2 linked regions of the Nothobranchius furzeri genome follow. Each later gene encodes a partner of the first gene's protein in a complex. Links are inferred from orthologs where the notes say so. Each region holds a gene or a part of one and is shown in the gene's direction. Other genes may lie near its edges.

Region 1 (5,328 bases):
ACTTGAAATATGTAATTTTTATTAAACATTTTGCTAAAATGCATTTTTTTGTGTGAGGGACCTAAGTTTGAGTTTTACTGAATATCTGACAATACTCAAAAATATACAGAGTACACAAATCCTGTTTTTATGCTCATTTGTGAGACTAGAGCCGTCACAATTCACTCCCAAAAGAAGTCCTCTGGACATAACACACAAAATATGATTTAGTTTTTTATATTTTTATGATGTTGATTTTTTTTTTGACAAAACTCACCTCACGATAAATGGGAGCCAAAACAAAAGTGTTGCATTTATATTTTTGTTCAGTGTATTTAACATTTCAGAGGAGCAGCAGGATGAAGTTAACTTCTTGGAGTATTTAAAAACATCAGTTTTAGGTAGTAAATATGACAGATATTCATCTTGGTTTTAATGTTCCACCAGGTTGTGACGCTGATCCAGCAGGTACCATCACCTCTGTTGCTGCTGATCATAGCTGCTTACTGAGGGACAGAAAATAAATAAGCTTCAAATTCAATTTAAAGATACTTTATTAATCCCAGAGGGAAATTAGAGTTTCAGTACACAATTCTGAGATCAGAGATACATACATAGGCAAGACACATGACAAGAATTGGTGACTGTGGTCATTCACAACCCGTCGCACTACCTTAATAGAGATCAGAGGGTTTATATGAGGACTGAGTCAGGTGGAGGAAAAAAAGGCACTTCAGAGTTACCCTCCACAGGGAGGGCAGCTTTGCTATGCAAAAAACACCTCAGACAGAAATGTAACAGACTTCAGACATCACACAACATAAGTGATACATTTATTTAGAGAGGCTTATTCAGTCTCCAATATGACATTTCTGCAAGCTTGTTTACATGGAGACATTTAAGAAGATTTATTTTTTATTTTTAAGGAAAATAATATCTCTTGAATGTAAGTTCATATTCTTGTCAATAAAGTGAAATTAAAATGCTGTCCAAAAGCAAAAATATTTAACAAATACACAATCATAGAACAGGCGTGGAATTGTCTCAGAAGCTGTACAAGAGTCAACTAACTATTTTCTATATTTTTTAATAAAATATTTTATAGGATATATTTGATTAACTATTTTAAAAGGAACTTCTTTAATTTTGTTGATGACCATATATTTATCAGCAATACTGACCAATTATTACTATTTATTGTATTCTCCCAAAAGAACTGACATTTAGGAATCATTGTGAATAAACTTTATGTTTGAAAAATGTTTTGTTACGTTTTCTGTCCAGCATGTGAATTCCATTATTCTTTTGGTGTTAGCTGTAAATTCGGTTTTGTTTTGGAATAGTCTAATAAAACCAGGTGGAACTGCATCAAAAACTATCGAGTAATCTTTCACAGAGATTGGAATATTTAAAGTTTTGAGAAACTCAACCTTCTTTATCATGATCCGACCACACTAGTCGGAATGACATTCAGATATTAGTGTGGCAGAAATAATAATAATAATAATAATGATACAAATATAATGATAATAATAATAATACAAATAATAATAATAATTTAATGTATATTTAACAGTGATATTAGAGCTAAAAGGATGAATATTTGTTTATTTATTTTTTTTACTTTATCTTCTTGCATTAATTTTTTTACCTTTATCCCACATTTGGCGAGTTGGGATCTGGTGTGTGTGTGTGTGTGTGTGTGTGTGTGTGTGTGTGTGTGTGTGTGTGTGTGTGTGTGTGTGTGTGTGTGTGTGTGTGTGTGTGTGTGTGTGTGTGTGTGTGTGTGATGACGGTAGTAAAAAGATGGGGAGAGATAAAACTGCCTGCGTACCTGTTAAACTCCAGTACCCACAAGGCTTTGCGCTTGAGTCACGTAGGTGTTTCCGGTGTCTTATAACATTTTACTTCCTCCCACACAGACCACACGAACAAACAGATACAGAAAACCTCGTTAGTTTACACTTTTGTCGCGTTCCAGTGTTGTTTTTACTCTGTTTCTGTTGAATAAGTCGTGGCATGTGACGCGAACTGTCCGAGGGTTGAAGAATAACCGAGAAACACGAACCGTAACGTGTAGGCCTCTAAAGAAAGTTTGGTCTCCGGGCCTGTAAACAACATGTCCTCCGCCTCGCAGTCTTCCTCCAGACGCCAGTGGTGCTACCTCTGCGATCTGCCCAAGATGCCGTGGGCCATGCTGTGGGAGTTCAGCGAAGCGGTGTGCCGGGGATGTGTCAACTACGACGGCGCGGACCGGATAGAGCTGCTTATTGAAACCGCCCGGCAGCTGAAGAGCACTCACGGTGTTCTGGATGGCAGGTCTCCGGGTCCACCGCAGGGCAAGCCCAGCTCAGTCGGTTCCGTAGAGGTGGGTCGGCAGCATGGTGAACGTGTAGACAGAGGGAGGGGGGAATATGGGGCGTCCTCTCGGCTCCCCAATGGTCTGCACAGAGCTGAAGATGTGGCCTTGTCTGAGGGGAGCCGTCAGAGCCCGAACACCCGTCGGGCTGTCGCTGGTTCAATACCCGGTCTGCATGGCTCCATATCTCATGCTTTAATAGCTCAGGGGCTAGTAGCAGCTCCTCACGGGCTTTTAGCTCCCTTACCGGGCTCCAGAGCCGGGGCCACGTCCATTGCAGTTTCAGCTGGCCCTGTAATGAGTGATGCTGGCAGAAGGCAGGCAGTATCTTTGAGCGTGGGAGCCAGCACCTCTGCTCTTGTGGGATTAGATCCAGCAGTTTGGAGGAACAGTGAACTGATGGCAGAACTGAATGAGGTGGCCCGCAGCAGGGTCGAAGGTTGGCCAAACCACCCAAAGGCAGTCCGGGATGTTCTTGTGTCTCTCAGCAACTCCATCCCCTTCAACGTGCGTTTCAGGAAAGACCATAACCTGCTGGGTCGCGTCCTGGCTTTTGATGCCAGCACAACTCCAGAGTTTGAGCTGAGGGTGTTTGTGGAATATCCTGCTGGCTCTGGAATCATATTCTCTGGAATCTCAGACCTTGTTAGGCAGATGTTCCGGGATTCAGCCAAAGATGCAGGCAAAGCAGTGAACTCTGGGCTAAGATACGTGGAGTACGAAAAACGACAAGCCACAGGAGACTGGCGTGGTCTGTCTGAGCTGCTGAATGACGGTGTACGCATGTTTAAAGAGCCCCCAATCCCAGAGGTCCTGCCACAGCCAGACCCTGTACTGTCTTTGGCAGCTCCTGGGCGTCCAGGACCAGCAAAGGGAACAAGCAGACGCCGTAAGGCTTCTCCTGGCTCAGAGAATGGAGAGAATGACGGGAGACTAGATCATCCATCAAGGGAACCCTGGCCTCGAGCTGCCTACACAGAACCTCTTCCGGGCATGGCTGCTCCTCAAGAAAGCTTGCCACGTTTACACAGCCAGCCTTCACCCATTTCTGCTCTCATGGGAGTTGCAGACAGCCTGAGCTCTAGTCAGATGGCTCGAGAAAGCCCCAGCATGTCTGCAGCCCACTCCTCGGGAGCTGGGCACTCCACCAGCAGCAGCCCCTCCACCGCCTCCACCTCAGCCTCCCAGGCAGCCATGGGGCAGGGTCTGAGTACAATGGGGCCTAGTAGTAACACCAACACCGGGGAGAGCACGAGCAGCACACAGAGCGCCCTGCTCTGCTGCACCCTCTGTAGAGAGCGTCTGGAAGATACACACTTTGTCCAGTGTCCGTCTGTCCCACACCACAAGTTCTGTTTCCCCTGCACTCGAGGATTCATCCGCAGCCAGGGTCAGGGTGGGGAGGTGTACTGCCCAAGTGGGGAGCGCTGTCCCCTGGCTGGATCCACTGTGCCTTGGGCTTTCATGCAGGGAGAGATCTCCACCATCCTGGCTGTAGATGGAGATGTGAAGGTCAAGAAGGAGGAGTGATCCTTGAAGTCTCCACCATCCTGTCATGGTAAGATATAGAGAAAAACAAACGAAAACTAACACCCTTCTTCTCTATCGCTGACGAGAATTAAAACTAATGTTTTATGGTCTGCTGAGCTGATATTTACTTTACTAAAATTTAACTGGTTGGGGGATCAGCCGGTCTAAAGCACACAGTACTTCCATTTTCTCACTCTTCTCTTTGTTCTGTCATCACAAAACTAATCACATTCAGTGCAACACTTGAATTAGGTTTGGTGCCACACTTTCTGTGGGACCAATTTGATATTTCTTTGAGACTGATGCTGCTGATGCTGTAAAAGTAGCAAAATATTCTTATATGACTGTGGGCTTTTTAATCCAACTAGACGGTCCCAGGGGGTTTCCTGTACCAACGTAGCTGGTTTGAGTCAGCCGGCTCCTGCAGAACTTGAGGTGCTGATGAGGTGGTCCAAGCACTGAATCAGGATAACAGCTAAAACATGCAGGGCAGTAACCATCTAGGACAGTGGAGTCAAACTCAAATTCACACTGGGCCAAAATGAAAAACTGGGACGATGTTGCGGGCCAAACTCAATATATATATTTTAAAAGTGAGACAAATGTGTACATTTTCCTTTATCTACAGATGTGTACTGTTGAAGCTTTTCATTTGGAAACAAACTTATTTTTACCAAAACACTGAATGTGGAATAAGGAAATCACACACGAGCAAATGGACCTTAAATAAAGCACACATCAGTGGTATTTGTTACTTAGTTATGTTTCATTTATTTACTCTTTTTATTCCTTGTTTTTTGCTCTCGCCTGTTACCTTTGTGCTTTGAAGCAGAAAAAGTGCCTAAAATCAAAATAAGCCAAGCTCAGTTTGCTCCACTGTGATGCTCACCTGTTCCAGCCAGACACCTGCATGTCTGGGGTCGGGCTGTGAGCTGAGGAAGGAGTTCATCAGTGAGGCTGCGGTGTTGTTCTGTTCATCTTCATCACAGACAACAGAAGAGCGTGAGTTTTGTCCGCATAGCTGGTAGTAAGTCGGACCTGTTCCCAGTGAGGGTTGGACTCCGCCAGGGCTGCCCTTTGTCACCGGCTCTATTCATTACCTTTATGGACAGAATTTCTAGGTGCAGCCGTGGTGTGGAGTGTGTCGAGTTTGGTGGCAGGAGAATCTTGTCTCTGCTTTTTGTGGATGATGTGGTCCTCCTAGCTTCATCCAGCTCTGACTTTCAGCTCTTGCTGGGTAGGTTCACGGCTGAGTGTGAAGTGGCTGGGATGAGGATCAGCACCTCCAAATCTGAGACCATGGTTCTCGACCGGAAAAGGGTGGCTTGCCAACTCCGGGTCGGGGGAGAGGTCCTACCTCAAGTGGAGGAGTTTAAGTATCTCGGGGTCTTGTTCACGAGTGAGGGTAGGAGGGATCGAGAGATCGACAGGTGGATTGGTTCGGCGTCTGCAGTGATGCG
Region 2 (4,828 bases), on another chromosome or scaffold:
ACAAAGCATCGACTCAAAGTGTCGCACCGCCTGGAGACGTAAGCAACGTGGCCAGAGTCTGGCAGTCAAGAGCTTCTCCAAGCGCACACCCCGCAGTTCCACTGCAGGTAAAGAGCAGGTGTGGAGTTATGTATGATTAGCTACACTATCACATAGACGGTGATGGCATGTATTGATGTGTTTAAAGGAGAAAGTTGTGAGATCTAATTAAAAAAGCCTTTCTACCTGCTTCATCCACACGTTACAGCTCTACTCGCTTTGAGCGTTCTTAGTTTTAAAAAGGCAGAATATAATTTATGCTTATAAAATCCATTAATCTTGTGCTGTCAGTTTATGCAGTTGGCACAGTCACAGGCAGTGAACTCAAAGTCATCTTATTTTATCAGCTATATGAAAGCTATTATGCAGTCTGACCCTCCAGATATCAAGAAGTCTGGTGCTTCAAATGTTTACTATCCACACACGACGCCCTTCTGCTCCTTTCCTGTGAGTTATCACCTCTCACCTCTGACCAGGGAAGCTTTGCACTGCAGGGGAAACCCAAATATCCTGTGAGGGGGAAACACTTGGGGTAGATTGTCAGGCCTTTCCTTTTCTGACCACGCACGCCCCACAGCGCACAGCGGTAACACTTTATAATAACTACATCTTATTTAGCCTTAATTACACATGAACAAACGTAAGTAACTACTAACAAATAATTAATTAACTAACAATGACTCTTACTTAATAAACAATTAACCAATGCATTAATTAATGCTTTATTTTTAACGATTAGTCCCTTTTAAAAGCTGTTTACTCATTTCTTATTCATATGTAACAAACCATTAACAAAATTCTTTTAAGCAACTGACTAACACATTAATTAATGCTTAACTTCTAATGACTAGTTTCATGTAAAAGCTGTTTATTTATGGCTTATTCATAATTAACAAATCATGAACAGAGTTCTTATTAATCCATTTTTTGGTAACACTTTATAATAACTACATCTTATTTAGCCTTAATTACACATGAACAAACATGTAAGTAACTACTATCAAATAATTAATTAACAATGACTCTTACTTAATAAAAACAAAGCATTAATTAATGCATTGCTTAATTGTTTATTAAGTAAGAGTCATTGTTAATTAATTATTTGTTAGTAGTTACTTACATGCGTGTTCATGTGTAATTAAGACTAAATAAGATGTAGTTATTATAAAGTGTTACCCGCACAGCACAAATGCTTGTTCAGATGCATCCATCAGCATGCAGCACACATGCACAAGACCAAACAGCAATTCTGTCTTTAATCAAATTACGTGTCAAATGAACAGGGAAAAGGCACCTCTTTTTAAAAATCCTAACTAATTTGCATCACTTAGAGTTCAAACAAACTCTTTAGCCTCCGAAAGCCACCTGGCAATTCCTGCTTCATCTGGTGATTGGAAGTACGGAGAATTATTTATATAATACAGTACACAGCGGTGTCAGTGACAGATGGAAGACAGCTTTGTTTTGTAAAGTTGTGTATGTGATGCGTTATCGCAGATTAGTTTAATGTAAACAAAACTGGATTCTTTTGTCATGCTGGAAGGATACTGGCTGCTTTCACGAGCAGCGTTGATTTATTTTCTCCTTAATCGCCTTTTTGTTTTTTTTGTTGTTCTTTGTGAACTCCTTGTCCTCGCCAGCAGATGAAAACATGAACGAGGAACCTGCACACATTGAGACGGCTACCCAGCAGACTTTGCATTACACACTGGCCAATCAGCAGGTTCAGTTCCACCGCATTGGTGAAGATGGACAAGTTCAGGTGGTGAGCGACGTTTTAGTTTTCTGTTTCTCTGGTAAACAAAACAGGCTTTCTTGACCTTTATGTTGCTCTACGAGTCACTAAAATGACTCGTATTTCTGTTATTATTTGGCATGAATTTTCCCCCCAGTGCCTGTAATTCTGAGTAATTTTTTATCTTCGTCTCAGATTCCACAGGGACAGCTGCACATTGCCCAGGTGCCCCAAGGGGAGGAGGTGCAGATCACACAGGACAGTGAGGCAAGTGTTTGTGTGTGCATGTGTGACAGAAGTTGAGACACAGTTGACCGGTTTCCCCTCCCGATGGATTTAATTTCTCAGTAAATGCCTCACTCAGAGACATTTGTTTCCAAACAGGGAATAACTGTTGCAGCTCATTCATGCTTGAGAGGTTGGCAGGGCATTCAATCACTGATATCTTCCATCTTTTGGGAATGCCAGTTTGTAAGTGGTTGGCAATTTAGTTACAGTGTGGTAACACTGACAATCATTGTTTTGCTTAATGGTTTAAATTATCCACAAAAGTCGTGCAAGCATGCTTTTGCTGGCTTTGTCTTTAAAGAAGGAAATTAGTTTTCATTTTGTGGAAGTGCAGCAATATATTTCGTTCATTGGCGATTAAATTAAGATTTCTCATCATCAGCTTTATTCATAAATCACTTTTCAATAATATGAGGAATATCCAAAGTGTTTTACAGTACACATGGAAAAATACTGCATAATTAAAAGTGCAAGTTAAAATACATTCGCCAAAACACACAATACTGAAAACAGCAGCGGCTAGTGTGAAATTAGCATAAAAGCTAACAAGTAAAAATGTGTTTTCAGCCTATTTTTAAAGTTTGTTAGTGATTTAATTTAATGACAGATCATTCCCCAAACTTTGGGACCACAACTGAAAAAGCACGGCCCCTTCTCGGGTTCATTTATACCTAGAAACAACCAACAGGCACTGATCAGCAGACCTAAGTGTGCAAGGTGGCTTCTTCTTGCTTCGCAGATCCAACAAATATGTGGGAACCTTTCCATGTAACACTTGAAAAGCAAATAATTTTAAAAGTAGTTCAATACCAAACCAGAAACCAGTGGATGCAGTTAACAGTGGGTTGGTATTCTCTCTCTCTCTCTCTTCTTTTCTATAAAAAATCTAGCAGCAGACTTATGAACCATCCAGTGAGCAAGGAGTTACAGTATCCAGTCATGAGGTTATAAACACATGGATCACAGTTTCCAATTTTATGTTGCTGCTGTTCTTCCTTGGGAACTCTTTATACAATTACATAAAATTTTGCATAAAAGAAGAAGAGAAATACATAGACCTACATCTGGCCAGTGAGGTCAAATCAGATGTGCAAGGGGTCTGTCATTTGAATCGAAATGAATAACCTCTGTTTTGTCTTTGGTAAAAGTTAGTAAATCAAAGTTTCAGGAGAACATAAACAGGGCAGTCATCTGCATATAGGTGAAACCTCACTTTGCGTCAGTGGAAAAATTACCAAGTAGCAGTAAATTTATGGAAAAGAAGAGAGGGCCAAGAATAGACCCTTGTGGCACTCCATAGATAAGGTCAGCGCTGGCAAATGAAACCTCTCCTCCCTTCTAACACAAAACATTTGAATGACAAATGCAAACACGAGTGGATAATTTGGACAGTTTGAAGTGTGTTTTTGTATAAAAATGATGATCAGCATTGTAGATAATTTCCTTAAAGTGACAGTGTGTATTTTCCCTGGTGATAGGAAGCTGTGCATACATTGCTAGCATGCAGTATTTTTGTGTTTGAGTAAGACCTTACCAACGGATGGTCATTACGGTCAAAAATCCCTGAGTGCGCTATTTTTGATCATGTACTTCATCAGATTGTTCAACCTCCAACAAAATGACCGTCAACACTGGCAACAAGTGAAGAGGTAAATGTGTAAAACAACATCGTTAACGAATGGTGAAAGTTTTGTAATTGCTTGTTACAAATCATTAAATACTTCTTTCCTCACGGGCTCCCGTAGAAGGAAACTTTGCATCTAACATCGTGTCTCCCAGAGACTTAGATGCATTTTTGACCCAATTTTTATGGTCATATTTTATGAGGCCGCCAATATTTTTCAACAACTGAGCATCATTTGATTCATTTTCAACAACATTTCAATGGATATATTTAGGGATTAATGGTAAAAACTACATTTTGTTTCTTTAATGGCCAGTCCACAGATTTGCTAATGACTTGTCGGAGTGCAGAGTGCGATATCCGAGGTGTACCTCACATTTTTCAACATTGTCAGTTTCTGTTTTCTATTCAAAAACCACAATAAAACAAGTTCCACCCAAGTGTTTTCGGACCGTGTTTAAGACATTAGTGAAAGCCGGAAAAAGAAAAGCTTTTATGTGGAGTAGAGTATTATTTATACAGTATAAATAACAACTTATGCAGAGAGCTGTTTCCATATAACGCTCAGGTGACTCATTGTAGGCCATAAGACATCGTTCCATATACACACAACCTGCCATTTAACATTATAATTTACCTCCAAACCACACTAACTGTTAAAGAGGAACTTCTGCATCAGCATCACTGTTAATGATTTTTCAAGGATGTGGGAGAGAGATTTATTTCAAGGCGCCAGTTTATGTACACACTCTTACATGTAATCAAATACTCAACATGATACATGTCATACATGGGTGACGGCTTGACATTTGTGCAGAAGCAATTGACACCTTAACCAAATGCTTTTCTCATTTCCTTTTCAGTCGTAGTGGTAAAGGACCTTTTGGACGAAACGCAAAACTGAAGGAGAGGGAGACACAATAAATTGAAGGCAGAAAAACCTCCAAAGCTTTTCCTGCTCTTTGTGGCCGAGTCCAAAATTCTTTTTCTTCTTCCCCCGTCTCCTTCCTATTCCGAGATATTATTTGTTTTTGGAGTTCAAAGCTTAGCAACAAAACCCCACTTCTGCCAGCTGCCCCTCACAGAACATGCTTTCATTAGAAACGGGCCCCTTTCATCAAAGACGTTGGTTTCAGCGTACT

What was found. Proteins that work in one complex are often made in the same cells at the same time.
Region 2: interferon regulatory factor 2-binding protein 1 (region 1) and banp share a complex: the UniProt entries of both Homo sapiens proteins name them as parts of the corepressor complex. The link is inferred for Nothobranchius furzeri from reciprocal best matches to the Homo sapiens genes IRF2BP1 and BANP.

The regions. Positions count from the first base shown.
Region 1 is NC_091750.1:43,019,790-43,025,117, forward strand, and holds the start of interferon regulatory factor 2-binding protein 1, read left to right. Parts: upstream 1-1,911; 5' UTR 1,912-2,098; coding exon 2,099-3,868; 3' UTR 3,869-3,896; intron 3,897-5,328. UniProt on the Homo sapiens protein: Acts as a transcriptional corepressor in a IRF2-dependent manner; this repression is not mediated by histone deacetylase activities. May act as an E3 ligase towards JDP2, enhancing its polyubiquitination. Represses ATF2-dependent transcriptional activation.
Region 2 is NC_091744.1:74,152,709-74,157,536, reverse strand, and holds part of banp (protein BANP), read left to right. Parts: coding exon 1-107; intron 108-1,679; coding exon 1,680-1,804; intron 1,805-1,969; coding exon 1,970-2,041; intron 2,042-4,828. UniProt on the Homo sapiens protein: Controls V(D)J recombination during T-cell development by repressing T-cell receptor (TCR) beta enhancer function. Binds to scaffold/matrix attachment region beta (S/MARbeta), an ATC-rich DNA sequence located upstream of the TCR beta enhancer.